Linked DNA regions of Notamacropus eugenii. Each later gene encodes a partner of the first gene's protein in a complex. Links are inferred from orthologs where the notes say so. Each region holds a gene or a part of one and is shown on either strand. Other genes may lie near its edges.

Region 1 (7,623 bases):
TATTCAACTCTGGATAGGTTTTGCTTTACCAATATCCTAATTCACTGTACTTAAATTATTTTCTCAAGATTTAAATTTGACTTACAGCTTCCTCTTCTTTGTCAACATTACTTGTCTGTGATAATTTTACATTTCCACTTCCTAGTTCTCCACTGGCAGAAAATTTTACACCATCTTTTGCACATGAGATTACAACAGCATCTCCAATATGACTGAGATCCCGACAGATTCGTGCAAATTCACCAGAAGGCATTTTGACCACACAACTGTATTCCTGTTCCTGTAATACAAAAACAGCTTTGAATATGATTTAGGAGTTTAAATATTTAGATGTCATCGATCTCATTTGCTGAAAGAATTAAGAGCTATGAAATTGCATTCTTTTGAATAACACCTACTCCAAAAAGATAATTAAGTTATGACAATTAAATAATTTATTTAGGAAAGCTTAAGAGTACAACTATCTTTTCAAGGAATATTTGATGTAAAAGGAAGTGAAAAGCACATTTAATTCTATTTTAACTATTTAATAGCTATGAGTAGCCAAATCTATTTTTCTTGAATGTATTCTGGAATGACCAAGAGTTTCGATACCAGTCACCCTACTAGATACTAGATTATCAATATTAACAGCCCTGTTAGATACATAAAGATGGGCCACAGAAAGGGTATATGGGTAGCTGTATAATTTACAAAAACTTGTTTTCCAAAAAAAATTAGTTACTTTTATATTAGAAATTTTAATATCCAATCACTTTTCTACTTTGATGAAGATAATAAGAATTTATATTTCCTTGGAAATGATTAAAGTCTACGAAAAGCTCCTTATAAACTGTTATTAATAAAAAAAAGTCTAATGAGCTTAAAAATTAAGATACAAATATTATAGTAGAGATCGAATGAAGGGAAATTAAGAGGAAAGAGGCTGTCTAGTGTGGTAGAAACCAATGTTTTGGAGAGTAAAGACCTGAAGCTCAAATCTTTACTCTCAGTTACGACCTCAGGCAACATTTAACTTGTTTAGCTTTGCTGTATGGTAATAAGCTTTTAAATTGGCTTCTAGCTCTAAATCCTAACTGTATTATTTTTGTTATTATTATTCATTCTTAATAAATCAAAGAATTTTAACACTGATTTTAGACTTATTTAACCCTTTATTTCTTTAAATAGATATACAATGTAGTACATATTAAGTTAAAATGAATGTCACATTATTAAAAATGATTTTCTCTCATGCCAAAAATTTTCTTTACATATTAGAACCTAAATATATAAGTATTAGAGATTGACTTTGGTCATATTAATTTTATTTAACTATTATAATGAGACATATGACAAGAAATCTCCGATACTTACTGGGATTCCAAGCTGTTCAACATCTAAATCCATTAATTTCATCTCATAGTCTGAAACTTTTTCCTGATCTACAAATAAAACACAAGATGCCATTTTATATTTCAGTATTGGTGTTATAACTAAAAAGCGGGGTACGCGTTTATAGGACAAACTTACTTGGTGCCTCAAAGATCAACGCCAGCGTATCTGCATTGTCTTCGGCCCTTAGGGTAATAATATCTTCGTTGCTGGCACATTTCAGTATTTTGGACATGCTGGACAACGGAGAACAAGCAGTAAATAAACACGTTCATCGATAAAGCCCCGGAGGGGTTACAGCCGGCCCTGTAACGGGGCACACGCAGATGCACGGTGGACGTAAACAGGCACATTCCGGTGGCAGGAGGCACCGCCGATCTCCCTCCTTACCCGAACGCCGATCCCGGTTTTTGTTAAGCAGCACAGCCCGCCGGCCCTCCCTAACAGGCGCCCCGCCGCCGCCTCCCTCGGCCGGGCTCGCTCCGGCCACGAGGCCTCTCGTGGAGCGGACATGCTTTTCACTTTAAATAGAGGGCATCGGACGCAAGCCTTCCCGCCACAGCCCCTCCGACCGCATTGTGAGCTTGGCGCCGAAATGACGTTGGCGGGAGGCGGCCGGGGCGCGCTTCCCCTTCCCCAAACCGCGCGCTTCGGCCCGGCCCCGCCCCCTGCCGCCGCCAGGACCAATGAGGCGCGTCCGCCTCTTCCCCCCCCCCCACCGCTCCCCGGCCCGGGCAGCAAGAACTACCTCGCTCGGCTGCGCTCCCGCCAAGAACCCGGGGAGAAGCCCGGGGGCGGGGGGAGGGAACACTGTGTTTACAGCACCGGAGGCCCGAGCTCACCTGGTGAGATTAACGCCCATGGCCAGGTTGCGGTCGCAGCGGTAGGTATCGAAGCCCTCGGAGCGGAGGGTGAGCTGCACCAGGGAGATGTGGGACGAGTCCATGCTCTGCAGGTTCACCCCGCCCGAGCTGATGTCCCAGCAGGCCTCATTGATGAAGTCCTTCAGCGCCTCCAGCACCTTCTTGAGGATGGAGCCCTGCACGAGCCTTGCCTCGAACATGGTGGCGAACAGCGATACCAGAGCAGAAGCGAGGAAAAACCAAGCGGCCTAGGCTCGAGGGGAAGACAGGGCTGGGCTCACCCACTGAGGCGAGGTCCTCGGCCCGGGAGCAGAAGCGGGGGCAGAGACGCACTCACCACCGCCGCCTCTAACCAAATGAGGCTCCGCTGCTCCGCCTCGCGCGCTCGCCGGCAAGCCGCTATGACGTCACGGCGTAACCGCCCGCCTCCTCCCTAACGCTACTGGTGCTCCCTCGACCAATCCCATCGCGAAGGTCCCCCTAAACCTCCTGAGCCAATCAGAGGGAGCAGGTTTACCCCGCCTTTCCTCGTTGCCCGGGCTTGTTCAGGTTCACCTCCTCTCAATCCTTTTTGGTTTGGGGCCGGGGGCTTTATTTTTGGTTTAAAACCTCACTCCAGGAAGGTGGCTCACTCCTCGGACAGTGAGATTTAGAGCTGAAAGCCACCTTGGAGAGCCTTTCATCTAATCCCTTCAGTTTACAGACGAGGAAGCGGAGGCCTCCTGGAGCTGAAATGACTTGCCCGGGGTGGTCACATGGGTAGCAAGTGGCAAAACGCCTTCCAACCCGGGTCCTTTGGCTCCACAAGCCGTGGCTCACTCATGTTTTAATCAGAAAAAATAGTACGTTACAGTGCGTGGCACACGATAAGCATGGATAATGCACGTTCCTTCTTTCTAGGGTAATGGGCAGTAACGTTTGCCACGACCTTTTTTTGCTGGCAAGTTTCTGAACACAACAGAAAGACCTTACCTTCACCCAAGGACTTGTAATTTTTAAAGAACCATGGACGTGCTCTGGCCAGTTGGTGGGCAGGGGATGTTTGGCCCCTTCCCGTTCTCTAGGTTCTCATCCGTCAAATGGAAAGGTTGGATCCAGTGAGGAAGGTTCTTTTAAACTCTTAGGTACCAATAACTTTCTTTCTGTATGCCTTTAGCGGGTGGCTTGTTGGATTAAACCAAGTGGACCTGTGTGTCCGCGGCTGGAAGAGAGAGAACGTAGCTGGATTTCATTTCCCACCCCTTTTCTTTGACATCAAGAAACTGAAGTCAAGGGAGATTAGGTGACTGGCCCAAAGTCACGGAGGCTCGGTACCGAGGCGTCTCCTTGCCCCATTCTCCAGCGCCTTCCGCCCCCAGGCTTTGTTCTCTCCACCCCACACTTTCTCTACCTGGGGTAGGTTGACTCTTGGGGGATGCTAGGAGACCGAGGACAGGGTAAAGAAATTATTTGGTAAGTAACTATTATCCCTTTAAAATATTCCCAAAGAAGTAGTGTGAGTGGGGAAAAATAGTTTTGAAGAGAGAGTGTAACTATAATGCTAAAAATGGTATGTGCGAAATAAAATTTTCATTATGGAAAATTCATCTCTACATTTTATTTGTACGTACATATGCATAGTAAACGTTAGAATTTATTTCCTTTCATACTGAAAGGAGGTACCGAAGGATTTATTGAAAGCCAGATAGGGGGCCAGAAAGAGGTTGGGAATCCTTGCTTTACAGTCTGTCTCTTAGTGACTTCATGAACTCTCATGGATTAAATTTTTGTTTCTACCAAGACGACTCCCAGATATATATTGCAAATTCCAGCCCTGCATCATCAACTGCCATTGGACATTTCAAACTGGATGTCTTACAGACATGTAGAACTCAGCATCACTAAAACAGAACTAATTCTCTTTCCTTCAAAACCTGCTCCTCTTCCAAACTTCCCTGTTTTTGTGGGGGCACCATTATCCTTTTAGTCACCCAGGTTTTCAGCCTTGGAGGCATCCTCCATTCCTTCATCATGTATTCACCATGACATCATATATTCATTCAGTTGCCAAGTCTTTTCAATTCTACCTCCACACTCACATCAATCGCCTTCTCTCCATTGACATGGACACCCTCCTAATTCTGGTCCTTGTCACCTTTCACCTTATCTATATTGCTCCTTTCATGTCTATAATACATCTTTCACATAACTGTTAAAGCTATACGGAAAAATTTTTTTTCTATAATCAAGCGTTTTTTTCTCCTTCCTACCTCCCCTCCTACTGAGAAAAGAAATAAAGAACCCTGTATCACATAACCACAGTCAAGCATTTACATTCAAGATAGTTTTATATTTATTTCCTTCCATTCTATTTTCTTTTTTTTCTCATTTTTATTCCTCAAACTCACTTTATTAGAGATTGTTATTCTTTCTTTCCTTTAACCTCCTGTTCATGATCCCTTCTTTCCAAGCTTAGGGTTTGTTTTGTTTATGGCAAATCCTTCCCTGAATCCCTCTATTTCCCATCCCTATATCTTTTTTCCCTTATATTGTTCCTTACTGTATCACTATTGAGTTAAATGTATTCCTACACAAAAATTGGGACACTAATGCACTATTGGTGGCGTTGTGAACTGAACAGTTCTGAAGGACAGTTTGGAACCTTGCCTAAAGGGCTATAATTTATCACAGTGCATACCTTTTGAATCAGCAATACCACTGCTAGGTGTGTATCCTAAAGAGATCAAAGGAAAAGGACCGATAAGTACAAAAATATTTATAGCAGTTCTTTTTTTGGTGGCAAAGGAAAGGAAATTGAGGGGATGCCCATCAATTGGGGAATGGCTGAACAAGTTGTGATATATAATTGTGATGGAACCTTTTTGTGTTACAAGAAATAACAAGGTAGTTTCCAAAGAGCCTGGGAACTGATGTAAAATGAAGTGAGCAGAACCGGTAGAACATTGTACATAGTAAAAGGAATAAAATAACAATGATCAATTGTGAAAGACTTAGCTACTCCTATCACTATAATGATCCAAGACAGTTCTGAAGGACTTATGATGCCAAAATGCTATCTACTCCAGAGTGAGAACCGATAAACACTGAGTGCAGATTGAAGCATAATTTTTCATTTTATTTTTTCTTCCTTTTTTTCCCAACATGGGTATTAGGGAAATATGTATTGCATGATTTCCTATAAATAATTGATATCATATTGCTCGCCCTCTTAATGAGGGGGCAGGCGGGAGGGAGACAATTTGAAACTCAAAATTTTTTTAAAAATGAATGTTAAGAATAAATTTTAAAAGAAAATGACAAGGAGACTTGAGAATGAAAAATGAATTATAGATTATAATAATGAAACTTGAAAACTAATAATAGTATAGTTAAAGATATAAATGAGTTAAAAGACTAATTCATCTAAACTTTCCTGAGGAGTCTGGAAGATGTAGGTGTTTTGTATTTTAAAAGATCAGATTGCTTAGTATGACAATTTTTTCTAAGCTTTCTAACTTCTGCTTATTCCACCTATATGTCCAACTCGGATAAAGAGTGGCTGAGGCCTCTCTCATTATAGCTCTGTCTTTCCCTTCTCACCAGAAGGTCACCCAACAGGAAGAAGTCAGCCTAGGGAAGGGCACATTCTGGTTAATTGATACTTTTTCAATGCTCCTCACTCTGAACTATGAAGCCACAGCCAGTTAAAAATTCTTCTATGGTAAGTAGACCAGAACCAGTTACAGAGTTTCTTCTCTAAGTCCTTGTGGAGATTGCATCAGATGTACCTTACACATGCTCGTAGGCATTGGGACTCACTGGCCCATATCCCATTACAGATGACAAAAAAAGAAAGGCACTGGACTCCAGAAATGATCTCTAGGATTTCTTGTAGCTCTCACTGCCTACATAGTATAGTTAGGGAACAATGCAAAACACCATCTGTTTCCCAATGGTAGAATGTAAGCTCTTTGAATTCAGGGACTATTTTCACTTTTTTCTATATATCTCCAACTCTTAATGCAGACAATTGAGTGTATTTGAAAGGTAATAGGCTCGGAAGGCTATGCTATGAGTAGCAGGGGTATTATTTTCTCTCTACACTCTCTAGGGAACCTCATCAACTCTCATAACTTTAATTACCATCTCCATGTAGATTGACAGATAAGAATGTCTAGCCTATCTCTCCCTGAGCTGCAGTCCTTCATCACCAGTGGCTAATGGAACATTTCAAACTGATTCTTTCCAAGACATACCAACCTCAATATGTCTGAAACTTAACCCATTATCTTTCTCCCCAAACCCCCCCTTCCAAACCTCACTATGTCTGTCAAAGGTACCAGTCTCAGAGGTTTGTAAATTCGAAATTACCCTTGACTGCCCATTCTTCATTACATTTATCTATCCAATTAGTCGCCAAATCTCGCCATTTCTACCTCCACAACATTTCTCCACTCACGCAGTGACTACTTTATCAACCTAGAGGCAGCTGAGGGTGCAGGGCCTGGAATCAGAAACATCTGAGTTCCAATCTGATCATAGACAATTATTAGCTGTGTGACCCTAGGGTTTCCTCATGTGTAAAACGAAGATGATAATAGTAACTCTTACCTCACAGGATTGTTTAAGGATCGAATGGGATATTTGCAAAGCATCTGGAATATAGTAAGCACTATGTAAATGTTAGTTATTATTATTAGCTGTATGATCCCGAGCAAGACGCTTAAGTGCCTTAATTTTCTCATCTGTAAAATGGAGCTAATAATAGCATCTACCTAGTAGGAGCTATGCAAATGATCATTTTCCCCTCCTACCTAGATTATTGTATCAGCCTATTGATTGGTCCATTCTCTAGTCCAACCTAGAGAAGATGAACTAGCACCCCTTGAATGTTCTCCACTTCTGGTTATGAATCCCCAGCCAATGAAAAAGTCTCCTTTATGGTAGCAGACCAGAACCACAATCACTGCTGCTACAGAAATTTTCTCAAAGTGTCAATGTGACTATGTGGCTCTGTTAATCAGATACTAAGGCTTCCTACAGCTTTTTTTGTTGTTGCTCCTTTGTTTAGTTTTTAAAGCCCTTCACAGCCTGGTTCCAACCTATCTTTTCAACTTCATTGGACTTTACTTCTGCAAAAATGGCCTTTTTATTCCTTTTTGATAGATAGCCCACCTCTCATTTCCATGCCTTTGCACTGGTCATCTCCCATGTCTGGAATTCATTCCTTCCTTAGCTCTACCTCAGGGTCCCTCTCTTCCTTTAAGCTCAAGCACTGTGTGAAGGCCTTCCTCATCTCTTCTAATCACTGCTAGTGCCTGTCCTCCATCTCCAAATACCTTGTATTTAACTACTTTGTATTTATTTCTTTCAATCACTACATACTGAGCCATCTAGAAAGTCAGTA
Region 2 (8,013 bases), on another chromosome or scaffold:
AAGGCAAAAAGCTTATAGACTGTACCTGTAAACTGAAGGTATTAGGTATCTTAGGTCCACTGCAGTTCTAAAATTCTTTAATTCTAGTTTACTCAACACTCCATGCCCTAGTACACTCAATTCAATATTCTCTGCCTTGGTGAATACAGGAATAGAGAAAAATTTAAACAGATTTACATTACACCAGGTTAAGTACAAGCTGATAAAAAGTCCATCGTGAGTTACTATATAAGTACCACTGAAGTATCTGAGTGCAACAGTCCATATGGAAGTTACAATACCACAGAAATAAGAGTTGTTATTTTCAATTCAGAAGCCTACAATCTAGAGCAAATGAAATGTGAAGTACAAATGGAAATAGTTGATGAAGGAAATAAAATCAATGCAGGCATGAAAGCTAAAGGTATATATCAGGGATGTTTGGGATGAGGTACCACAAAGTGAAAAGGGGTGAAATAAGTAGAGAAGGTAGTGAAGTCAAAAAAACATGATGAAAGTCTCAGAATGAGTAGAATGTGGAAAAAAAGAGGAGATTCCAATATTAGTGTTCCCTCCCCCGTTTGTATCATAAGATAAAGGGCATTAAGATGTCTGATATTCAAAAACAGTTAAGATACAGTAAGTCAGGGCCTCCTCTTCTAGAATGTCTCAAGGAGAAAACAATTCCTTAGCCAATGCTGAAGGTTTAAGGGTCACACAGCTGTGTCAAACCACCAGCAGGCCCTTTCTTACCAAGGCAAAGACTTCTATCCTACCCTCAAACCGCACATTGTATTTTTGTGACTTTTTTTTTCTGTCAAATACACTTCTGAGGTTCATATTAGCCTAATTTCACCCATATAAAAACTTTTGGGGAGGATGAATTCACAGGATCATAGATTTAGTACTGAGAGAAATCTTAGCATTCAACAAATTCAACACCTTCATTTTCCACTTAAGGCAACTAGCTTGCCCAAGGCTGGCATTAAGTGGCAGACATAGCATGTGAAGCTTGTCACTTCAACTTCAGGTACAGACCTCTTTCCGCTATTACTAGGCAGTATCCAAAATCACTTTGTTTTTGTCTTCTCTGGCATGTCATGCTCATGGACAGCTTGGTTACATACACAGGCCTCAGGCAAAAAATACTTGTGGAACACCTACTATGAGCTTTCTAAAATACTTTTATATGTATACACATACACATTTTAAATACAGAGACAGTTGGATGTAGGGCTAGCTTGGAATCAGGAAGATGTTAACAATCTTCGTCAAATTACTTAATCTCTGCCTCGGTTTTTTCCACAGTAAAATGGGAATTAATAATAGTGCCTACCTTCCATGGTTGTGAGGTTCACATGAGATATTTGTAGAGAATCTTAATAAATGCTCATTTCCTTCCCAAAGTGACTAACCTGACCACGTGTCTGCCTTAATGGTAGCGCTTTCCTTCTGAAATTATCCTGGATCTATCGTGTTTGCACATAGCTCTTGGCAAACACAATAACGTCTCCCCAGTTAGAATGGAAGCTCCTCCGCGACAAGGAACATATTTTGTCTGAGGCGTTCTGTTTTATTTCTAAATTTCCAGCCTTTAGTACAGTACCTGGCCTAGAGTCACATTTAATAAACGCTTGACTCAGTGGCCAGGAGGATAGGAAAAAAAATTATATAATGCGTGACAAGCCAAGGGATGGAAACAGCCAGTATCTGTTACTTTAAGGATTGCAAAATGCTTTACAAATAACTTATTTTTATATTTGTATCTTTTTAATATTTATCTTATATTTACAAATATCTCGTATTTCACAGCAACCTGCGAAACAGGTGCTATTATTATCCCGATTTTACAGCTGAAGAAACTGAGTCAGACAGGGGTTAGGTGACTTGTCCAGAGTCACAGAACTAACAATTTAGGTCCTCCGGCCTCCAGGTCCCGCACACTCTCCACTGCGCAACAGGCCATGGCAATCCCGCCCCCCCTCCCCGCCCACTTCCTTCATTCTCTTTCCCCATCTCCCCTACTCAGCCTCCAATATCCCCATCCAAACCTGGGCGGCAGCAGAGGCGGACGATACCTGTCCACCACGCCGAACTCAGACCCACACCTGGACGGGGGGACACTGAAGCTCAGGCTCCCGCCAAGGGTTTGGGAGCGTGGGCCCGCCCCTTACCGGAAGTGACGTCGAGGAGACGCGGCGAAAGGAAAGGCGGGGGCTAGGGATTGGGGAAGAGAACCCCAATCTCATTTCTGACAACGTCTCCTGAGACAACTTTCCTTCCGTCCGCCTCACGAGTCTGGAGGACGAAAAAGGCTGGAAAGGAAAAGTCTGCAGTACACCGTAACCTCACCTGAGAAAGAGCGGGGTGGGGGAGGGTTATTGGCTTCCCGCCCCACGCCTTCTACCTTCCCATTGGCCAAGGTCGCAAGTCCCGCCTGGAAACTGCAATTCCCATGGTGCTCAGCGGAAGATAAAGGAAGAATAGGTTGGAAGAATATTGCAGGCCATTATGGGAACTGTAGTTTCCCGCTAAGAAGTGTGCGGGAAAGGTGGGGGGGAAACCATCGTCCTTAGCTACTGAAGCCAGGTGTTGAAAGCTCCGAGGACCGACGCTCCAAATAAGCCCCATCTTAGAGCTCAAGGACGTTTCCTCTTCTCTAACCGTAATAATCACAAGAGCGAAAGATCCTTTTTTCAGACTCTCGGTATTGATTTCTCACTCTAGTACTCTAATCACAGTCCTGATCCTCAGGATCCCACTCGTGGGAAAAGGTGGCCTCGTTACAGAAGGAAAAGCCTTATCACCCAGGGCGACCCCGGGATTGGCCAATGGCCACGTCCCTCAAGCGGAGGTCCCTGAAGCCGATTGGTTCTTTTTTTTCTCCGGGCTGAAGTAGGGTTGGCACTTAGCTCGACCGCGGCCCAGGAGGGGCACAGCAGTGTGGGGGGGAGGGAGTAAAAAAAGGGGCGGATCCCGAAAGTTGATTGGTGAGAGTTGGTGTCTTTCCTCAGTTCTCCGACCAGCAATTGGCCGACTTCCCTTTGGAGGAGGCGGGCGGCGGCTAGTGCGTGGTGGTGGTGGGCGGGTCTTCGTTAGCAGCGGTAGCCGCTGGAGCCGGTGTCCGGGGCTGGTGATGGGGTTAATTCTCTCCCCTGTGACTCCCAGTCGCGCCCACCCAACCCCGCTGTCTCCCTGCTGCGCCGCGCTCCGACCGCCTCCTCCTCCTCCTCCTCCTCAGTAACTCGGGTAAGAGACATTTCCACCACCACCACCCCGCCACCCCCCGCCACCTCCATCCCCCGCTCCAGCTCCCCGGTGTACCGCTCCTCCCTCCCCCGCCCGCCAACCGGTCGCTCTAACGGAGAAGGTGCTTGGGGGGGGGCAGATAGGGGGAGGGGGTGTGTCGGGATTGGGGGTGGCCTTCCCAGCTGAGCTGGCCGAGGTCCCGGGGACCGGCCTGCGCCCTCAGTCCCCGACCGGCGGGGTTCGAAAGACGCGCCCCCCTCCCCGGGCCGCCGAACCTTGGGCCTCCTTCAGCCCTCCCCTCCCCCTCCCCCCGGCCCGGGGCCATGTGTAGAGCGAGTCCCCATAGGCCTAGTGGAGGAAGCACGGGGGGAGCCCCGTCTGCGGTGCCCGGGTCCCTGCCATGGCGGCGGCGGCTGCAGCTGCTGTAGCTGCTGCTGCGTCCCCGAGGACTCGGAGAACAGAAACAGCAGGCCCGAGAGACGCCGATCTCTCCGTGGGGGGGCCCGTGCCTCAACACACCGACTCTCGGGGCCGGGCAGCAGCCACGGCCTCGCGGGGCCAGGGGAAGCTTTTTGTTTATTTCGAAAAAAATCTTTTCTTGCGTTTAGAGCAAACGGTAAGCCCTTGTCCCAGTGCTTTGACGGGAAAAAATGTTGAATGTTCCCCCGCACAGACACATTCACTCACACACTCACACGCTCTCACTCCCCCCCTCCTTCAGCGGGGCAGTGGGGCTGGTAGTGAAATCTTTCCTGTTCATCTGTCTGTCCTAAGAAGCTCTAAGGGCAGGCTGAGAAACGCTGTCAGGGTCAGACACCCCTGGCAAGGGCTCCTCTCCTTCTGGTGATGGTGTGCTTGAAGGAAGTGGTCGAGAAAATTAGCAGTAGGGTGTTTGGGGGTGGTTTATTTCTACCCCCCCCCCCCCCAACTTCTCTCTGGTCCTTTGACCCAAAGGTGGTTTTCTGTCTGAAGCCACCTGAATACATTAACTTGGCTTTTCTGGGATTGGCTTATTTTCAAATTTCTAATACAACACTGAAAAGATGCTTCTCAGTGTGAGTTTAGCGCTTTTGGTCAATAGCCATTTTTAAGAAGATGAAACTTATGAAAATTGGAAAATATTGTCAAACTAACTAAAAGCTCACATGAAGTTATGTTGCAGGGAGTGAAAGTGCAGTGCAAAAAAAACGGATTGTCTGCTCTTTTCCAAATATAAGGAGAGTAGTTTGTACAATCTAATTTTACTTTCTCTTATTGTTTGTGTGTTGAGTTACTGTCAATAATAGTCAATATTAAGCACCTATTGTGATAGCTTATTGCATTTTTACTAGTTCCTTTAGTCCCCAGACTGAGGATTGGATGAAGTAGCATTTTCCTTTGGCATATGGTAGCTATCTGTAGCAGCAGAGGTGATATTTGGTGATCTGTTTTAATTCCAGGACCCTGTTGTAAGGTTACTTCTCACTATTTTGTTTTAACATCTCCAACCCTTCCTGTAGGAACAACTCAGTTTAGAAAAAGCTAGTGGATACTCAGTAGACATCAATAGATGGTTTTTGGATTGTTTAATCTTTTGATAGTTTTAGCTACCAGTTGCCTTAATTGGGAGGGGGTTGGGGGGAAAGTTAAACATATGCTAGGATCAGCCTAAATGCTAAGTAGATTTACTTTGTCACACCCATGTAAGTGTTTATACTATCTTAACTGAGTGGTAGTTTTACTTATACTGTGACCATTGAGAAGAGGGTGTAGTTTGACTCACAACTTTGTCATTTTTAGAAAGAAAAGTTACATAGTAAATAGATCAGATATCGTTAATTTATTTTGGAGAAGATTAAATGTAACTAATTTGATCTTAGAAAATGCCTTTTGGTACTGATGCTTGCTTCTTTTTGACCACTGAATAACAGTATTAAAACCAAAGCCATCCTTTCATTCAATTCAATGTTAAGTTCAACCTTAAGAGTAAACTGATAACCAAATATTCATAACATTAAAGGAACACAGCTTTGGAAGAGGTTATTTAGTCAAACTGCCTCATTTTATAGATAAGTAATCATAATAGCCGATATCTCTAACATTTTAAGGTTGTAAAACATTTTACACCTATTATCTCATTTGATCCTCCCTATCTTTTAGTTAAAATATAGTTTAAAATATCATCCCTATTTTTTAGTTAAAGAAACTGAAGCTTCCAGGGGCCCAGTTCCTGAGACAGTGCAAACCCAGATCTTCCTAACTCCAAATGCAATAATCTCTCCACTCCAATACAAAGCTAAAATTTTAAGAAATAAATTGGTCAAGGTCAAGATTATTACAGCTAATAAAATTTATACCTGTTCCCTTTGTTTTCAAATATGGTGCTTTACCAGTTTTCTCATTCCACAAATACAGATTATTTTAAGAGTCTTGGTGTGCTTTTAATCTGTTAAAGCTTAATGTGCAAGGCATTTTCTGAATGACTCTGAGGCTTACAGAGATCAGAGGTCATCTCTGCCCTTCAAGGACTTTTACTCTAAGAGCCATCTATAGATGGAATAACAATAATAGAAGACATATTGGGCTATGATACCTTCACTACAGTAATATTCTCTAATTCCTGTTTAATTAAAGGTTGTACCTATTGATTTCAGCAGTAATACTATATAGCAATTTCATATCCATATCCAGTACTTCGTGTTACAGAGAAAGTAGGAAGGTGAGTCAGTAACTTAGGCGAATCTAAATACATATTCAAAATAATTTATTTCAGAAGCATAAAAAAAAATACTGCCAACTTTGCAGAAATTGAGTACTGCATTTTTTAGGTATAGTTCTAATATAAGTCATGCCTGTAGGTCATATATAATTACTTTTAAAAGTCATTCATTATCAAATATATAAGAAAACATAAAAAATATTACCAAAGTTGTAGCTTTTTTTCTCCAGACGTTCCAAGCAATCAATTTTCAACCTTTACTGAAGCCTTATTATAAAGGTATCATTAGGATAACTGCCAAATGGACCATGGTATCCATGAAACTCTTCTAATGAGATCCTTTTTAGTACTCAATTCCTTTGGACAGTATCTGGATCCTCTGCGGTAGCAGGTGGTAGTCTCCTTCATGTTCTTCCCACATCCCCCTATATAGTTGAATGGTCTATTAGGGTTTTTAATATGATGGTTACAGTTCAGAATACCTACCTATTAGTCCTGAAATAAACTTCCATAATTTTTGAAGGGGAAAGCGTTTCCTTTATTAGTACATGTGAATACCCTTTTTGGTAAATGTTCAGCTCAAGTCCTTTAGTAATGTAGCTGTAGTAGTTAACAGTCTTTGCCAAGTAATAATATTGTGAATATTAAAATGTAAAGCCTTTAAAAATCTTGACTTTTTTATGAAGTCATTAAAATAACTAATCACTATTAGTCAGCTCTTTCAAGGGAAGCTTCAAGGCAGATCTTATATTTTTGTTGCAAACAGTTCTGGGTATTGCAAGGAATTACAAACCACAGAACAATATACCTCATCTTTAGAATGATACCTGTACATGTAAATAACTAGAAGTTGTTTCATAAAGGATTCATGTCAGTTCTTTTGGTAACTCTATTTTAAAATAAACACTTAACTCTAGTGAATTTTTTTTTTTAATATGTGCATAACCTGTGTAATTAAGTCAGTAGAATATGGTGACTGTATTTCTTATGGAAGTAAATTTTACCTATACCTGATAAATCAGTTTTTTAAACAAAAGTAATTAAATTAGAAAATTGGCTCAGAGAATTAAGCAAAATGGTTAGTTATTTAATCCTGTTTCCAAGTCATTTCTTCCTTTCCTATTCCAAAAGACTCTTCCCTCCATCCCATGTTTTGTCCCTTAATATTCTGACTCTTTCCCCTCAAAAGTCAGTCTTATTTTTGCCATTCACTAATTTTTCGTCTTCTTCCTTCCTGCCAGCCTCTGACACGTTTTTATCTCTCATTTGGTTTCCTCTCTGTGCCTCCTGTAGCCTTTAAATTTATAACTCTTGTCTTTTACTTGAGCTTATTTTTTTTTTTTTTTAACACTACTTGTTCAGAAAAAGTGAACCTGTGATGTCCTGTAGCTTAGGTTTGTTCCTTTTTCATAAGGACAGAGTTAGATCAGTTGCAATGATCTGTTGCTCTAGCTTTGATTGTACATTATTTCTATACATAACTATTCCCATAACTGAGGAAAACTCCTTCTGTTTATATTCTTTATCCTTACCTTTCCTTGAATACTAGCAATTTGAAATAACATCTAATACTTATGTATAGTTACGTGATATCACCTTAAAATTTAGCCAGTAGCAGAGATGTAGTATTTCAATCTGTAGGCTGGTTGTGGTTGTACCATTACCCTTATTGCTATGCTTGACTTGTATATAAAGAATGATTATATTCTACCAATTTACTATACCACTGAGTCCCAGTTTACTTTTAGATAAATTCAGATGTATTTTATTTTACTACCTAGGCTGGCATGTCTCCTCCCATTCAAAGCATTCCCCACCCCCACCCCCCAAAAAAGAAAATACTGTCTGTGCACCAGTAAATTTCTATACGTATGTGCAGAGCTTTTGTAATGTCTTTAATGAGAATCTGATTTTTCAAAATCTTCCAAAGTCATTGGAGACAATTTTGTAGTGCATAGCATACAGCTTAATAATGGTTATATTAGTGAACATTTGTAGTTGAACTAAACATAAATACTTCTGCTTGTTATCCTTCATGCTTGAAAAGGACCAAAATGACATCACTTTTTAGGGTCAAGGTACAATGT
Region 3 (7,498 bases), on another chromosome or scaffold:
GACATAAATAATCCTGTCCTGAAAGAATTTACATTCTAATTGGGCTGAGAGAGCTCTAAATCAAAGACACTGAGTATTTGCACAGAGCAGCAGATTTTGGAGTAGAGATTGTTAAAGGTGGTCTTTAAGGATCTGTACTGACTTTTGAATGGTGGAAAGATTTCCCTGGAGCTAGAGATTGGGGGAAGTCAGCCCCCACATCTCCCTTTATTCTCGACACTTAGAGGTTGTTAAGAGCAGATTCCCCTGGATAAGATTATTCTATTTCTCCTTAGTAGAGTAGAGATTTTATCTTGCTACTGTCTGAAGAGTTCTTGTATGTTCTTTGATCTCTTCTAATCTGTATAACCTCCCCTTTCTTTATGTTTTACTTTGATAAAGAAATTTACCAGCTATTTGTCATGGTCTTTTGTATAATCAGTTTGGCTGGAGGGAGTTAAACTGGCAGTGGGGAGCCTAGTGTTACCCACCCCTTGATAGTGATGGGTAAAGTGCCTTTTATTCTGCATCCCTTATTGTACTGATGGGCTACAGATATTTGTTATGTGGTAGATAGATATAATTTTAGTCCAATGTCCTTCTTGGCAATACGAGAGTATAGGAAAGACCACACAGCTATGTTGATTTGGAATCCCACCTACTCTTTCCCTGCTATACTACTGGTAGTATAGGCAAGGAACCTCTTCTTGCTCCTCACTGAGAGAAATGATTGCTTCTCCCTCATATTAGTAATCATTTATTGCCGTAGGACAAGAATTTTTTCAGAAGCCTATAGGTTGTTCAGTCTCTGAAGGACATTGCTGATAAATGAGATTGAATCAATTTTCTCCTCAATCTGGTTCAGACCCCACCCAACTTTACAAGGAATTTAATCTAAGGTGGGGAAGTCCATTGTGCTCTACACAGGTATGGGTGGGGATGAATTCTTTAATTAAATTGCCCAAGGCGGGGAAATTTAGAAGTAAACAATATAATGAAAGTTACATCCCCACACCCTTCATTAGAATAGGTCTACTTCTCATTGTAATTTTCTTTCTCTCTCTTTGTTAACCAATTAGAGTTGATTGCCACCCTCAGGAACAGGCATTCTTCCAAGGTCACAGAAACTGCGAGCCCACCACTGTGATTGGTTTTTGGCATTCCAGAATGTCACTGAGTCTTTTATTAATAAAATGCTAGCATTATTAATAAAATGATTAACTACCCAGAAACTACATCTCTCAGACTTTTTAAATGTCACATCACAAAGAAGAAATCACAGGGACCTATTGGAGCTCATTATACAGGGTGGGGAGAAAAGAAAACATTGTTATACACAATTTTTTTTTTTAAATCTCACTGGGAACTGAGTGGAGGATGGATTGAAATGGAGAGAAAATTGAGGCTGGAATATTAGTTAAAACCCTATCACAGTAGTCCAGAAGATAGATTATTAAGACTGAAACCAGGACGGTTGCTGTGAGAATGGAGGAAATGAGATTTCCAGGAGAGATATTGTGGAGGTAGAAATGATGAGATTTTGCAGTACTTTGGATATGAAGAGTGGAAAGTGAAAGAGGACATTAAGATTGTAAACCTGGTTGACTTGAAGGATAGTGATACCCTTAACAGAAATAGTAAAGTTTAGAAATGAGGAATGTTTGGGAGAGACATATAAGGAGTTCTGTTTTGGATATGTTGGATATAAGATGCTGGAGGACCAGCCAAGATGGCAGACTAGGAGGAAGCAATGCAGCTGAGTTCCCCACAGCTACATAAACAAATATGTCAGATAAGCACCTGAACAAACTGTAATCAGAAAACTAAAGTGAAATCATGGTAGGTGATCTTTCCAGCAGAAGACCACATACTCAAACCATAGGCAAGTGACTATGAGAGTTACTGTGGAACATGGATGAGCCAGGATTGTGGAGCCAGACCTGAGGAACAGAATGAGGGGACTGGAATCTTGGTCTTTAGTCCTTGGGTTTGGGCCATAGTTTTGTCACTGTAACCCTGGAAAGGAGATCTTAGCTCAGTGCCCTTCCTCACTCCCCATTCCATGAAAAGGATCTAGGATGCAGCTCCTCTTTACAGAAGACTTTTCTTTTTTTTTAAACTAATTTATTGTTAGTTTTCCACAGACACTTACACAAGATTTTGAGTCCTAAATTTTCTCTCCATCTCCCCCTTCTGCCATTCAGAGGATCCCAGGATTGTGTTCATCCTTTGTTGCCGAAGAAGATCATGCCATCGGAGAAATCATTTCTCCCATGGCATGACTTGCACTTGACTTTGTTTTGAGTGAGGGAGGGCCATGCAGGTCACCAGCCTCACTTCTCCACAGCCATTTGAATCCAGTGACCAGATATTCATCAGAATGACTGGAGATGCATGTTTGAAGAGCCAGCAATGGAGACCAAGATGGAGCCGTTATTAAGAGAAAAACCAGGACACACCACTCTCAAGAAAACCTAGAGGACAGTGTATTGTTGCATGAATCCATTGACTAACCATTGCCAATAACCCAGCAAGAGAAAGAGACAAATTTTTACTGCAGTTCATTCAGTGTGACACACTCCATCAGCAATTGATGGAAATGTGTGTCATTCACAATCCAACTAGAAGTATTTACATAAAACCAAGAAGAAAAGATGGCTGCTTATTAGAAAAGAGTGTGCTCATTAAGGAAAATGTCTATCACTAGCTACAGAAGATAAAAGATCTAGTCGTTGTTAGTACAGCTAGTTGTACTAAGTCAAAAGGAACTATACATTATGTCAGACAAGATAAAGAAGGGAAACATTCCTTGGGCTGCTGAAGTCCTCCTTTCCTAGCAATTAAGTCTTTTGTACCAATTAGGGGAAGAAAGAAGATACTGAAAGAAATCAGCTGTGGCAGTTCGTTCTGTAGTTTATGCAGGGCCCATACACAGCAAAATTACAAATACAGAACAAAATCATTAGCAACTCTGGAGTGGGAAGTTTCTATTTAATGATGAGACTGGAAGCCTGATCATACAAGGTTTAGAAAGGAGTGAGAATAGAGGAAGAGAAGGTCCTAAGTGTAGATTATTTTCTCCAGGAGATCAGTCATCAATGAGAGGATTGGCATAGGATGATAGCTTTGGGTATGGTAGGATGGAGTGAGGGAATTTTAAGGCTAAGGAAGACAATAGGCATGTTTGTAGGTGGTAGGGAAGGAACTGGAGGCTAGGGGGTGCAGTGGATAGAGTACAGGACCCGGAGTCAGGAAGACCTGAGTTCAAATTCAGCCTCAGACATTTATAAGCGGCGTGACCATTGGCAAATCAGTTAACTGCTACCTGCCTCCGTTTCCTTAACAGTAAAATGGGCATAATAGTAGCACCTAACTCCCAGGGTGGTTGTGAAGGTCAAATGAGACATTTGCAAAATTCTTAGCACATCCCAGCTGGACAAATGATAGTTGTTTTCCTTCTATGGTAGATAAGGATCTCTGAGATCCTTAAGGGATAAGAGAATGGAAAAGACGGTGGGGGCAGTGGCTGGAGAGCTGAAGAGATGGGTTCAAGAGAAGTTTGCCTTGGTAAAGAGAAGGGCTGTCTCTTCATCTGAGCCCCAAGTGAAGGGGACGTAGCGGGGGAAGGATTCTCCAGGATGGACGGGAGAGGCCAGGTCCTCCCCTAAACAGGCGGCGGGGAGGGGCGCTGGGACGCTTGAGGACAGAGGTCTGGCGCGGCCGGGGTGGACAGTGGGCAGGAGGACGTCTGTCCAGAAGCAAGGGCTGCGCGCAGCGGTGACCGTGCGGGAGCCGGAAGGCCCTGAGGCGGGTAGGGAGGAGAGAGAACTATCCCGGCGTGCGGATGAACGACGGCATATTCGGGAAATCCAGAGTAATCAGAAAGACGCTCACTGAAACTGCCAAGGGTCAGCAAAGCTGTGGTCCGCCCTTTGGCCCCCCGAGCGCCCCGGCCATCACGCCGGGCCGGGCCGGCAGTCCGGGTGCAGCGGCCCCCCAGCGCAGGCCCGAAGTCCGAGGCAGGGCTAGCTCTCCGGAAGGCCTGCCTCATCACTCACTTCTCAGGTCCGCCCTCCCACAGCTTCCTGCACCGTTACGTAAAAGGGGGGCCCGGAGGGCGAACAACGAGGCCCACGTGGGACGGCCGGGAGCGCCTACAGCACCGAAGGCTCCTGCGGCCCCTCGTCAATAACCGCGGCGCTTCTCCCGGGTCCCAGGCTCGGTACACGCCGCCCGCCCCCCAACCCGGCCTTCGGTCCGGGCCGACTCCCCAGGACCCCCCGCTGCGAGCCGGGCGCAGGCCGGAGAGCACTAGCGGCCGGCAGACGACGCGGGGGCGGGGGGCGGGACTGAGAGGAGTCCTGGTTCCCGGGCCCCGCCGCCGAGCGGCCCAGCGCGAGGGGGCGGGGCTTCATGCTCAGGACGGCGTAGGATTGGCTGGAGTATCTCTGGGCCCGCCTCCTGACCGCCTTCTTTATGCATATGAACGACGTGCGCCGGGAAGCGTATTGATTATTCATGACGTTTCGCGGGCTTCTCCGGGTCACGTGGGCTTTTTCGCGCGAAAACTGTTTCTCCGGGTCGGAGGGAGTTGTGGATCTGGGAGCTGAGCTGAAGCAACTATGGCGGTGAGCTGGGCTCTCGGCCAGCCTGAGGGCGGGGAGGCGGGGGGGAACGTGACCGAGAGAGACCCGAGAAGCGGATACGGGGGTCCTTGAGGGGCCCGGTGGGGGCTGCGAAGAAATAGGGATAAAGGAGAGGGGAGGGGGTGGCGGGAAGAGAAAAAAAAAAAAAAAAAAAAAAAAACGTGAATGTTGCGCACGCGCAGTGAGCAGACGAGGGGCCCTTGGGCCTCCTGTGGGGGTGGGGGGAAAGAAGTGAAGGTTGTGCGTTAGTTCCTCCGGCTTTTATTTGTTTAGGGCCCTGCAGTCTCAGGGGGGATGAGGCCCCCACCTGCAGGGAACTGTGGGGACGAGCCCACTAGTGGGGGGGCAGATGGAAGGTCATTCTGGGGGAGAGGTTACTGGGGGGCGGGAGGGGAAGCATGGGTGGGGGCGGGGCCGCCGAGAGTCCGACAGGCTAACCGTGTCCGGTTCTGGGCCCAGAAAGGTCCTGCGGGCAGGGGCCAGGGTCAGCGGCTGCAGCTCCGCAGAGAAGCCGGGGTCCGGTGGGGGCAGACAGGCACCCCTGGGTGCTTTAGGGGGCTGAGGCGGTGGGGGGCGGGGAAGGACCGCGGTTAGATAAACTGCTATCCAGCGCGTCTGACGTCACCAGCCTCCCGCCCCCCACTTAAGCCAAGTCTGCTCCCAGGGTCCGCCTGAACTCGGGGGGAATGAGCATAGAATATAGTAAAGTATCTCAGACGTGGGGGGCGGGGCACTAACCAGTGGTTCAGAAAAAGCCCCTGGAGGGAGGGTGGGTGAGCCGAGCTTGGAAAGGGCAGGCTTCCCGGGGGAGGGAGCGCTTGAGCTGGGCTTTAGAGAATGGATAGAAATTCAGCTGGTGAAGAAGGAAAGGGGGGATGGCAGGGGGCCTTAGGGAGCTGTGAGCAGCAAAGACCCCAGTGCTGGAGCTTAGCTAGCATCGTAGAGGGAGGAGGGGGCTCCTGGGGACTGCCACTGAAGAGCCTTCCCTCTGCTTAAGCATCCTCACCTATAACTGGAATTGGCACCAGGGCTGAAAGTGCCCCAATTTATTAATCTCCCTTTCGTTTCTCCCTTCTCTACTTTGATAGTTTTTTTCTTTTAAAAATATCACTCTCAAAGGAAATCTCTACTTTGTGGGAGCCTTTTCAAAGGAAGGGAGAAGAAATTTGTTTCCTTACACTTCATAGATCCTATCCTGGACCCCAGCTCTTTTGCTGGAACAGGTTCTCCTATGAAAGCCTCCGTCATTGCCTCTGCACAAATGCAGAACTGCTGACCGGTCTGATCCTTTTTCAGGATTCCTCAGAGTCTTTAAATATAGCCTCCTCTAGTCCAGCCAGAAGATACAGACGGGTCAGTGATGGTTTGACATCTAGCCCTGGGCGGGGTTCCCGGCGTGGGGGCACTGATGCTTTGACTTCCAGCCCTGGCAGAGACTTGCCACCTTTTGAAGATGAATCAGAGGGTCTTCTGGGCACTGAAGGGCTTCCTGATGAAGACGAAGAAGATGGAGAAGAGCTTATTGGAGATGGAATGGAGAGGTGAGAGGTTTGAGAAAAAAGCAGAATTGATGGTGGGATGATCAGGGCGTTTGAGAATCATTCTAGACCAGAACCCTATTCTTTAGGATTGGCTAGTTAGGTAGGATGCCAGGGAGTTAACTGCATTTATTACTACTTTGTAGCAAGTTTCTTCCCCCTGCCTCAGTTTTCCTTCCAGAATATATGGAGATGCCAGTGAAACATAACAGAATTTTTTGGGTGTAGCCTGATCTATCCTTAGGGGAAAATGTATATCTCTAACACTAGTTGCAGTTTCATGATGTATTGTTGGTGGGACTGTCTCAAAGAATTCAGTCAGACCACCTCTAGTCCAAGTGTAGACATTTATGAGAATTGATGCCCCTCAGAAGCAGGATAAGGTTCCAAGAGGAACCAGCAACTTAATAAGACAGGATAGGCAATTTTATACTGTAATGATGTTGACTACACAGCAGAGATTATGTATATTAAAAAGGCAGAAGGGGTTTGTTAAGGGATTAGGTAATGGGGGGAGCCCTTCTATGACTCAGTTGTCAAGCATCCTGGTCTGGGTGCTTTCTGATTGGCTAGCTGTTATGGTCCTGTCAGATCAAGATGGATAGTTGGGTATTGTGGTCCTGTCGTGGGCTAAAATGGATGATGTGATTGTGGTTAAGTACAAGGACCCACCTGTTCAAATATGTGGATTGTGTCTAGGGTCAGTGGGGTAACTAAGGGCAATAGCTGTATTGAGACTGGGGGCCTGTGATGTGGTTAAAGCCAGATTGTGAGGTCAAATCAGGGCCTGCTTGTTATTCAGTGAGTCCCCTAAGGAAGTTAGAATTTTGGGGCTGGGGGCAGCTTTATTAGGATTCCATCACTTTCATCAGCAGAAGAGAAAGAACAGATCAGTGAATTGGACATGCAACTAATAAAAATTAGATAACCAACAGACTTTTAAAACTCAAATGCCAAAATGGAAAACTTGAAAGTCAAGAAATTAATAAAATTGAAAGCATAACATGTGGAGAGTCATTTTTCCTTTGCTGAGATAATGTATTATATAGTTAAGTTAAAAAGTGCACCAAGACTTGGGAACACCTGTATTTTGAGCATTAGGTTATAATTGGGCAGATAACATTGCTCTAAGGACATTGGAGATTCTGTACTGTTCTTACCAGTGCTTTTTTCATCCAGTATTCTTTCTCTGATGGCAGCATCAAAAGATGATGTGTGGGAAAGCATACCTACCTACCATGACAGTGACCATAAAGATTGATTTGATGTTCCCTAAACATCCCTAACTTTTGAGTCATAAATGTCTATGTCCATTAATAAAGTGCTTTTTGATCT
Region 4 (7,675 bases), on another chromosome or scaffold:
TTTACCGAGCGGAGACTTCCTCAATTTTCTCAAATGTCCGAGCAACAACAAGGTAGGGGACCCTGTAGGAAGCAAGGTCAGAGGGGCTAGGGGGTCTTCCAGGTACAGGGCAGCCGGGTGGCAGAAGAGGAGCGAGACGATCACCCTCCCCTTCCCCATGATATGAAACCTTCACAGCCATAAAGGACTCAGCCGGCTAATCAACATTAAGGCCTACCATGTGCCAGGCTCCCAGTCTAACGGGGATACACTGGGCAAACCACCTGAACACAGACAGGGGTGCCCCTCATGCCCTCACCTCTGCCCTGGTCTCCAGCAGGCATCGTCCACGGGGTGATAGCTGCTCTTAGAAGGGTTGTAGGTGCCTGGGTCTGGGGGCCTGCGGCAGAGAGAGGCAGGGGCTGGGGAGCTGGTCCTCTTGCCCCTCCCTGGAGTTCCCTCCCCAGGCACAGATTGGCTGGGGGCCAGCCAGAAGGCAGAGATTCCTCTAAGGCCAACTTACGCCCTGGACATCTCCTCCGCTGCCTTCCCCTTCTCCTTTGGAGCTTGTTTTGCTGCAGCTGGCTTTCGAGGGGCTGTGGAATAAATGTGTCACTGGGGAGACGCTCTTTTCCCTTTAGAACCCCCAAGCCCAGTGTGGAATGGAGGCTGGCCCTCCCCAGACCAGAGGTGAGACACTCACCGAAGAAGCTGCTGAAAGCCTTGGGTGCCTGCGTGGGCGCCTTTGGCTCTGAGTTTTGCCTTGCCTCACCGCTAGTGCCCTGTGGCTCCAGGGCCTCGCCCACAGCCTCTGCAGGAGGCTGGTTCCCCTTCTCAGCCTCTGTGGCCAGCTGTATCTCTGGGCTTCTTCCTTGAGCACTCTCCTCTCTCTCTCTCTTAAGCCTTTTGGGCTCACTATCCTCACAGTCCTCAGGCAGCTCCTGGACCTTCCGTTTCTGCATCTGTTTCCGAGCTATGAAGAGAGCAAGTGAGGATTGGGGAGCAATCAGTGATGGACAACCTCCTCATTATACACATGAGGAAACTGAGGCAGGCAGTAGTCTGATGATTTGCTTAGCCTTCCACAGCTAGTCAGTACCTGAGGTTGGATTTGAACTCAGTTCCCATGGTACCCCCAGTGACCTTTAGCAGCAGTAAGGGGGAATGGAGTTCAGTGGCAGAAGAGAGAAGCCTGCTGAGGATTCAATCTGGTCTTCACTCCTGTGGCCTGGACCATGTGTAGGTGGAGGGGAGGGTGGCTAAGAGAAAGGGCTACCTTGGAGGCACCTGCTGGAGGTGCTACTCTGTCTGGAGGCTCAGGGGAAGGCTGAGACAGAGCAGAGATGAGCCTGCCCTCGCTTACCTGTCCGACGTTTTGGGATCCCTGCTGGGGAGATGCTGTTGGGTGAGGAGTCTGAGGGGTATGGGTCTGAGCTGGTTGGAGATGTGGCCGGAGAGGGGATGGTCAGCTCCTGCAGGCGACAAGGAGTGGGTGTGGGGAGGTAAGAGTGCGTACTCCCCATGGGGCAAGCGAGAAAAGTGGTTGCTGCACCTCCAGAGGCTGGTTACCTGCTGTTGGGGGGATGCTGGGGCTGTTTCCTCTTCCTCCTCCTCACCTTCACTGCCCAGAGCTCGGGGCACTTTCCTCATAGGCCTCTTGATTGGAGACTCACTCTCAGGTTCTATGGCATTCCTCTCCTTCAGGGTAGCCCTGGGGGGGAAGCCAGGTCAGGAAGGGGTCAGAGGGTCAGGGATGCTCAATCAGCCCAAAGAGCCCCTGCCCACTCAGATCACCCCCCCACTAACTTGGAGGCAGGCTCCTTGTCTTTGCTGCTTTTGGGGGACTCTTCCTGCTTCTTCACTTTGTCCCCACTCATAGGTTGGAAAAATGACCTGCGGGGAGACACCAGAGAAAGGCTAGGTCTAGGCACAGGGCTCAGGGCCAAGGGCAGGAAGGTGGCCCAGGGCCGGGCACAGGTGGAGGAGCCAAGGGCAGGAAGGTGGCCCAGGGCCGGGCACAGGTGGAGGAGCCAAGGGCAGGAAGGTGGCCCAGGGCCGGGCACAGGGCTCAGGGCCAAGGGCAGGAAGGTGGCCCAGGGCCGGGCACAGGGGCAGGGCAGGGCAGGGCCGGGGCGGGGGGCTCCTCACTTGATGGATCGCTGCATGCCTGCTCCCGAGCTCTGCCCTCCTTCCTCCTCTCTGCAGCGCCTCCTGGAACCAAACGTACAGATGTGTGAGGATGCCGGATGGGCGCGGGGGGCACAAGCTGCCCGCTGCCCCCAGCTCTCCGGGCCCCGCCCCCACCTTCACCCCCCCGGGGCGCCCCCTCTCTCCAGGGGTTCAGGTAACGGGCGCCGGGGAGGGGTGCAGCCTCCAGAGGAGGCCCCGCACGGACTGTCCTGGGTCCGAGGCTCCCTCCGCTGTCCGGCCTGGCGTCCATCGTGTGCCGGCCACGGGCCGAGCCCTGGACGTGCAGAGGGAGACCGATGCGGACGAAGGTGGGGGCCGTGCTGGAGGCCATGGGGGACCGCGGCGGCCTGACAGGAGTCCTACCCAGAGCCCTTTCCCCACTCCCCGGCTCGCGCATGCGCAGAGGCCCTCGGCCCCCTCCCCATCTCCGAGGGTCAGCAAGGCCGGCGGGCCTGGAGCATGCGCTGTGCGTATGTTTATATATGTGTCTCCTCTGTGCCCCCCCCTCCCCAAAACTCTCCCCCAGCGCGCTGACCTCTCTTCGCGTAACGCTACCAAGACTCCGACCCGGCTCCCGGCTCCGGCTCCGGCTCCGGCTCGGCTCGGGCTCCACTCCAGCCACCAGCCCCACTTCGCGCCTCAACTTTCGCGCGCTGAGGTGCTCCAGGAGAGTGACTTCACCGACCGGTTGCCCTCCCCTTCGCTTCGCGGGGCACGCCGGGAGTTGTGGTCCAGCCTAGTGGGAGGGGCAGGACCTCTGCTCTCGGAAGAGAAGCTGGGGGATGGGTTGGGTCTGGCCGAGGCTTCCGGACGGAAGCCCGCGGGGCATGATGGGAAGAAGGGCAAGAGCTGACCCAGCGGAGGGGAAGCAAAGCATTCTGGGAAGAGGGGCGGGCCAGTAGCCTGGCCTCGCGGGGCATTGTGGGAGGGTCCAAGGCGTCAGGAGCCGCTCGTTCAGGCTCCGAGCGGGCGGGAGGGGTGAGTGACGGGGAGGGAGAGATGCACATCTGGTGGGGGGGTGGTCACATCTAGAAGCTGCGGGGGTGGCGCGTAGTGGGGGACTCCACATCTGGGGGAAAAATGGAACAGCTGGATGTAGAGTGCCACATCTGTGGGAGGGAGGGGCACAGCTGGAAGCAGACACGCCACATGTGGGGGAGGGAGGGGCACAGCTGGAAGCAAACATGCCACATGTGGGGCAGGGAGGGGCACAGCTGCATGTCGGGCTTCACTTCTGGGGGGGGGAGAGGTGGGAGATGGGCATAGGTTCAGGAAAGAGCCCAGTGGAAGCCAGGGCTCAGGTGTGCCATGGACAAAGTCTGGCTCCAGTATCTACCGTTTCCAGTGTCTTATCGCTTCCATCCACAACCTGTCTGGCGGTCAGCACTGGCTTAGGGTCACTGCTGGTCTTGAGGTCCGGGTCTCCCCTTCCCACCCCCAGGTACCCTAGGATGGAGGAGGACCTGGAAGCAGAGCCGGAGCCTGGGCGGGAGCTGGAGGTGGAGCCCGAACCTGTCCCGGAGCAGGAGCAGGATCCTGAGTCTGATCAGGACCTGGACCCGGAGCCAGAGTCCGAGTCCGAGTCGGAGCCTGAGCCCGAGTCGGAGTCGGAGTCGGAGTCGGAGTGGGAGCCAGAATTCGAGGCAGAGCTAGAGTCCGAGTCTGGCCCCGAGCCTGAGCCCGAGTCCGAGACTGAGCCCGAGCCTGAATCCGAGCCCCAGCTGGAGCCCAGACAGGAACGAGAGCTGGAGCCCGAAGCCGAGCTGGAGCTGGGGAAGGAATCAGGAGCGGAGCCAAGGCTGGCGTGGGCCGAGGCCGGGGCCCAGGAGGAGCGGGAGCTGCAGGATCGGGAGTTTTTCTCTTGGGCAGAGTTCAGCCGCTTTTTCGATGCTTGGTGTCAGCAGCATCGGGCCCTCTTCTTCGTCAAGAACTCCATGCACCTGACCAAATGCCGTTGGGCCCTCGATACCCCGCTCCGGGCCCTCATCGATGTCCTCAAATACAGATACGTGCGGCTCGTCTGCAAGGATGTGCGGGCCCCTGCCGTCAGGCCTGGCATTGCGGGGTGAGAGGCTCAAGGCGGGGCAGGGCCTGGTGGTCCTGCCTCTGCCCCTTCTCCTGCTTTCCTGTGGGAGCCGGGCCAGGGCCCAGAGCTCTTGGCCTATTGGTGTTGAGTCTGGGTACAGAGCCCCACACTTGAGTTTGACCAAGAACCAAATGCCATATTGTTCCAATTATGTCCCCTCCCCACTCAGAACCCTCCATGACTCCCCACTGCCCATTGAATAAAGTTTAACCTCCCCAGTGGCATTCAAGGCCCTTCCACCTTACCTGCCCATCCTTATCTAAGATAACCCCCTGGAGAAATGATGTGGAGGTAGAGACAGGTGACCCGGGAGGAATCATTTAATCTGTGCCACAGTTTCCAGCTCTGTGCCCCCTCAGGTCCATGTCAGCTCTACATCTCTGCATCTGGATTTTGCTTCTTTTCCACCTGCCCCCATTACTGTCCCCCACAAGATAGTTGAGGTGTCTCCCCTTCATGGCCAGCTCCAGGGCTGCCCCAGCCAGGAAGCCTCCCCTTGCGTCTCTCTTTTGTCTTGGGGCCCTCCTCAGCATTCTGAGCTTTCTTTTACACTGATTGCCATTCCCAACTTATTGGAATGCATCTTTTTCCAAATAGATGATAAGGTTTTTATGGGAAGGGTTAAGGTTCCCACTTGTTTTCCTGTGACCTCTGACCCTTGCATTTGTTTTTGAAATAAAGCCCCCAAGGCAATTGCAGCACATGGCAGGGGCAGGGGCAGGACATGGACATGGAGATGTAGGCCTAGGAAGAAGGACCTAAGAAATGCTCTGAGATTAGAGAGGAGGGATTATTTCTGTTTTGGTTTGGAAAGCAAGGGGTGGCTCATGTATGTGGAGGGGAAGGGAGAACATTGAAGGCTTTGTGGATGAGCTGGACTCCAAAGGTTGGGTAGAAATGGAAAAAGGGTATGGCATTCTAAGGATAGCAGACAGTGTGGGCAAAGGCAGGGAGGTGGGAATGCAGAGCAACTGCTCAGAGGGTAGTGAGGCTTTTGGTTTGGTTAGAGTACAGGGAAAGTGAGGGAGATTTTGAAAGGCCTTGAATTTTGGACAAAGGAGTTTTTGTTCTCTTGGCACCAGGGACTCTGGTCAGAGCTGGGGGCAGGGGGGAAGGAGTAGGATATGCCTCCCTGAGTCAGTTTCCTTGTCTGTAAAAGAAGTCTGAATAAACTAAACCCTACTGACCAACACCTTACTGTAAGGAGTTGAGAAAGGGTACTGGAGTCAGGAGAGCTGGGTGTCTGCTCTGACACTCACCAGCATTGTGATCCTGGGAAAATCCCTTTTTCCTTTGGGGCCTCAGTTTTCTCCTCTGTGAATGGTGGTAATCATCCCTGTGCTTTTAGAAAGTCACTGACAATTGGGTGGAGGGTGGCTTAGAGAGGAGAGAGGATAGATACCAAAGTCGAAGACATCTACAGTGGAGAGGAGGGAACATGTGAGAGAGCTTGGGGACAAAGAAGTGACAAGACAAGACTCAGTAGCTGATGTGAGTTTTGAACTCAGGTTCTCCTGACTCCTTCACTGGTGCTCTATCCACTGCACCACCTAGCTGCCCCACTGTGAGGAAGTCACTGAGCTTGTGACCCTGGGAAGATGGTATGTAGTTCATGCCCTTGGGGAGGGATAGGAAAGAGTGAAAGAGAGGAAGGTTTAGGGGAAAAGACTGAAGGTTCAGTTTTAGACTTGGTTTTGAGATGTCTCTGGAGTGGGACTGCAAGTCTCAGGGGAGACTGGACATGTAGGATTGGACTCATCTGCATAGAAATGATCATTAACCCTCCAGGAACTGATTAAGTCACCAAGAGAAAGAATGACCAGGACAGAGACTTGCCACTTGAAACACGGTGGTGTTACTACTGGGGAAAGACAGAGAGACTAGAACAATTCCTGTAGGTATTAGAGGCAGGCTTACTTGCTGAGGGAGGTGTGAGGAGGTAACCACTGCAGAGAGGGGGGTATGGTGGGAATGCAAGAAATTTGTATAGAAACTGATGTACCCAGTTATGAAACAGCCTGGCTGGGATGGTCAGAAATAGAGAGGGGCCAGAAAAGCAGGTTAACTCAGGTTAAAAGAGAGGCACTCTTTGGGACAATGGGAAGATGACTGTATTGGGAGTCAGTAAGCCTGGGTTCAATTCCTGGTCCTCTCTGGGCTTCACTTTCTTCATCTATAAAAAGATGTGCCTTTTAAGCTTCTTCTATCTCTGAACCCTGCAAGGCAGGCAGCTGGGTGACCTCTCCCTTTCCCTCTCTTCTTGTAGGAACCCCCAGCTGGGCTGTCCAGCCTTCATCATCCTGAAGCTCAGCCCACTGCGGGACCGCCTGGTGGTAACCGAGTGTCATCTGACCCATTCACATCCAGCTTGCCCTTTGGAGTTTGCCAACTATTTTCGCCCAGGCCATCTTCTTGCCAATTCCTGCCTCCCGGTTCGCACCACCAACAGGATCTCCAAGCAGTTTGTGGCCCCTTCAGACATCCACCGCCTCCTCTCCTACTGCAAGAGTCGGGACCATGGTGTCCTAGATGCCCTCCATGTCCTGGAGGGACTCTTCCAGGCTGACCCTGAGGCCAAGGTGCTAGCTTCGCATGGGGCAGGCAGGCAGAGGGGGCGGGTGGACCCAAAAGCAGAGGGGTAGGCCACTGGTGCTGGAGCCCGGGTCCATTCTTTGGGTGGGTTGAGGGGGAAGACATCAAGGGAGAACTGGGCAAGGGCAAGGGGGGGCGGTGTTTTGTGGCAGAAAGCCATTGCCTGTGGCCTCCAGGATATTGGCTTTTCTTCATGGGGAAGAAAAGGAATGGGGGCTGCACAGTGACTAGAGAGAAGGTTAGGTTCAGTCTTGGCTCCGTCCCCCTCTGCTTGGCTGTGTGTCGCTGGGCAAGTCTTGACCACTCTGGTCTCTAGGTAGCTGGGTAAGGCCAGAAATGGCACAAAAAAGTGCCAATCAGTATTGGTAGAAGATGTTTTCTTATGCAGGAGTTTTGTCTATCTCTGAGACCCCATGGCAGGGTCCAGCCCCATCCCTGTCTTTCCCTTCTCTGGCTCTGGGCTCTTTCCTAACCCCCAGGGAATGTTCTCTAAAAATGATGTGAATTTGAAACCTTACCCCTCACATGGACCATTAGGACCAAGTCAGGAGGCCCTGCTTCTAAGGGTTTAGAACTGGAGGGGCCTTTGGATGTCCTAGTCTTGAGGAATTTTGAGCTAAAGATTTCTGAGGGTCACCTGGGCCAAGCCCTTGGGGAGAGGGCCAGGCTCTTCCTAGGGAGGTGTTCAGGGGCATGTTGGGGGTGGGTGAGTGGAAAGGGTTCTTCTAAATACTGATGTCAAAGAATCTCTGCTGAATACTTTCCTGAGTGGGGAGGGGCTCTTATATGATGAGCCTTGTTCCATTTGGCTTCACAGGGCAGAGCCAG

What was found.
Region 2: the proteins of PCNA (region 1) and ZRANB3 are in contact, whole or in part, in a crystal structure (PDB 5YD8), measured with the Homo sapiens proteins. The link is inferred for Notamacropus eugenii from reciprocal best matches to the Homo sapiens genes PCNA and ZRANB3. Residues at the interface, in NP_002583.1 of Homo sapiens: Met40, His44, Val45, Ser46, Leu47, Gln125, Leu126, Gly127, Ile128, Pro129, Asp232, Val233, Pro234, Tyr250, Leu251, Ala252, Pro253; in NP_115519.2 of Homo sapiens: Asp1071, Ile1072, Thr1073, Phe1075, Leu1076, Val1077.
Region 3: PCNA (region 1) and MCM2 share a complex: the UniProt entries of both Homo sapiens proteins name them as parts of the replisome complex. The link is inferred for Notamacropus eugenii from reciprocal best matches to the Homo sapiens genes PCNA and MCM2.
Region 4: the proteins of PCNA (region 1) and LIG1 are in contact, whole or in part, in a cryo-EM structure (PDB 8B8T), measured with the Homo sapiens proteins. The link is inferred for Notamacropus eugenii from reciprocal best matches to the Homo sapiens genes PCNA and LIG1. Residues at the interface, in NP_002583.1 of Homo sapiens: Met40, Ser43, His44, Val45, Leu47, Leu126, Gly155, Arg210, Ala252, Pro253, Lys254, Ile255; in NP_000225.1 of Homo sapiens: Ala361, Gly363, Arg364, Ser368, Ser388, Thr389, Gln390, Arg391, Leu392, Met393, Leu394, Val432.

Annotation. Positions count from the first base shown.
Region 1 is NC_092872.1:632,582,283-632,589,905, forward strand, and holds the start of PCNA (proliferating cell nuclear antigen), read right to left. Parts: upstream 3,003-7,623; 5' UTR 2,438-3,002; coding exon 2,217-2,437; intron 1,611-2,216; coding exon 1,513-1,610; intron 1,425-1,512; coding exon 1,357-1,424; intron 281-1,356; coding exon 86-280; intron 1-85. UniProt on the Homo sapiens protein: Auxiliary protein of DNA polymerase delta and epsilon, is involved in the control of eukaryotic DNA replication by increasing the polymerase's processibility during elongation of the leading strand.
Region 2 is NC_092876.1:298,454,937-298,462,949, reverse strand, and holds the start of ZRANB3 (DNA annealing helicase and endonuclease ZRANB3), read right to left. Parts: upstream 3,016-8,013; 5' UTR 2,154-3,015; intron 2,150-2,153; exon of another isoform or gene 2,031-2,149; intron 1-2,030. UniProt on the Homo sapiens protein: DNA annealing helicase and endonuclease required to maintain genome stability at stalled or collapsed replication forks by facilitating fork restart and limiting inappropriate recombination that could occur during template switching events.
Region 3 is NC_092874.1:427,038,845-427,046,342, reverse strand, and holds the start of MCM2 (DNA replication licensing factor MCM2), read left to right. Parts: upstream 1-4,489; 5' UTR 4,490-4,601; coding exon 4,602-4,607; intron 4,608-5,921; coding exon 5,922-6,166; intron 6,167-7,498. UniProt on the Homo sapiens protein: Acts as a component of the MCM2-7 complex (MCM complex) which is the replicative helicase essential for 'once per cell cycle' DNA replication initiation and elongation in eukaryotic cells.
Region 4 is NC_092876.1:12,034,716-12,042,390, reverse strand, and holds the start of LIG1 (DNA ligase 1), read right to left. Parts: upstream 3,009-7,675; 5' UTR 2,705-3,008; intron 2,573-2,704; exon of another isoform or gene 2,533-2,572; intron 2,191-2,532; 5' UTR 2,145-2,190; coding exon 2,128-2,144; intron 1,873-2,127; coding exon 1,786-1,872; intron 1,691-1,785; coding exon 1,549-1,690; intron 1,452-1,548; coding exon 1,343-1,451; intron 953-1,342; coding exon 683-952; intron 576-682; coding exon 503-575; intron 380-502; coding exon 299-379; intron 63-298; coding exon 6-62; intron 1-5. Other genes in the region: uncharacterized protein, read left to right, coding at 3,621-4,234, 6,522-6,834.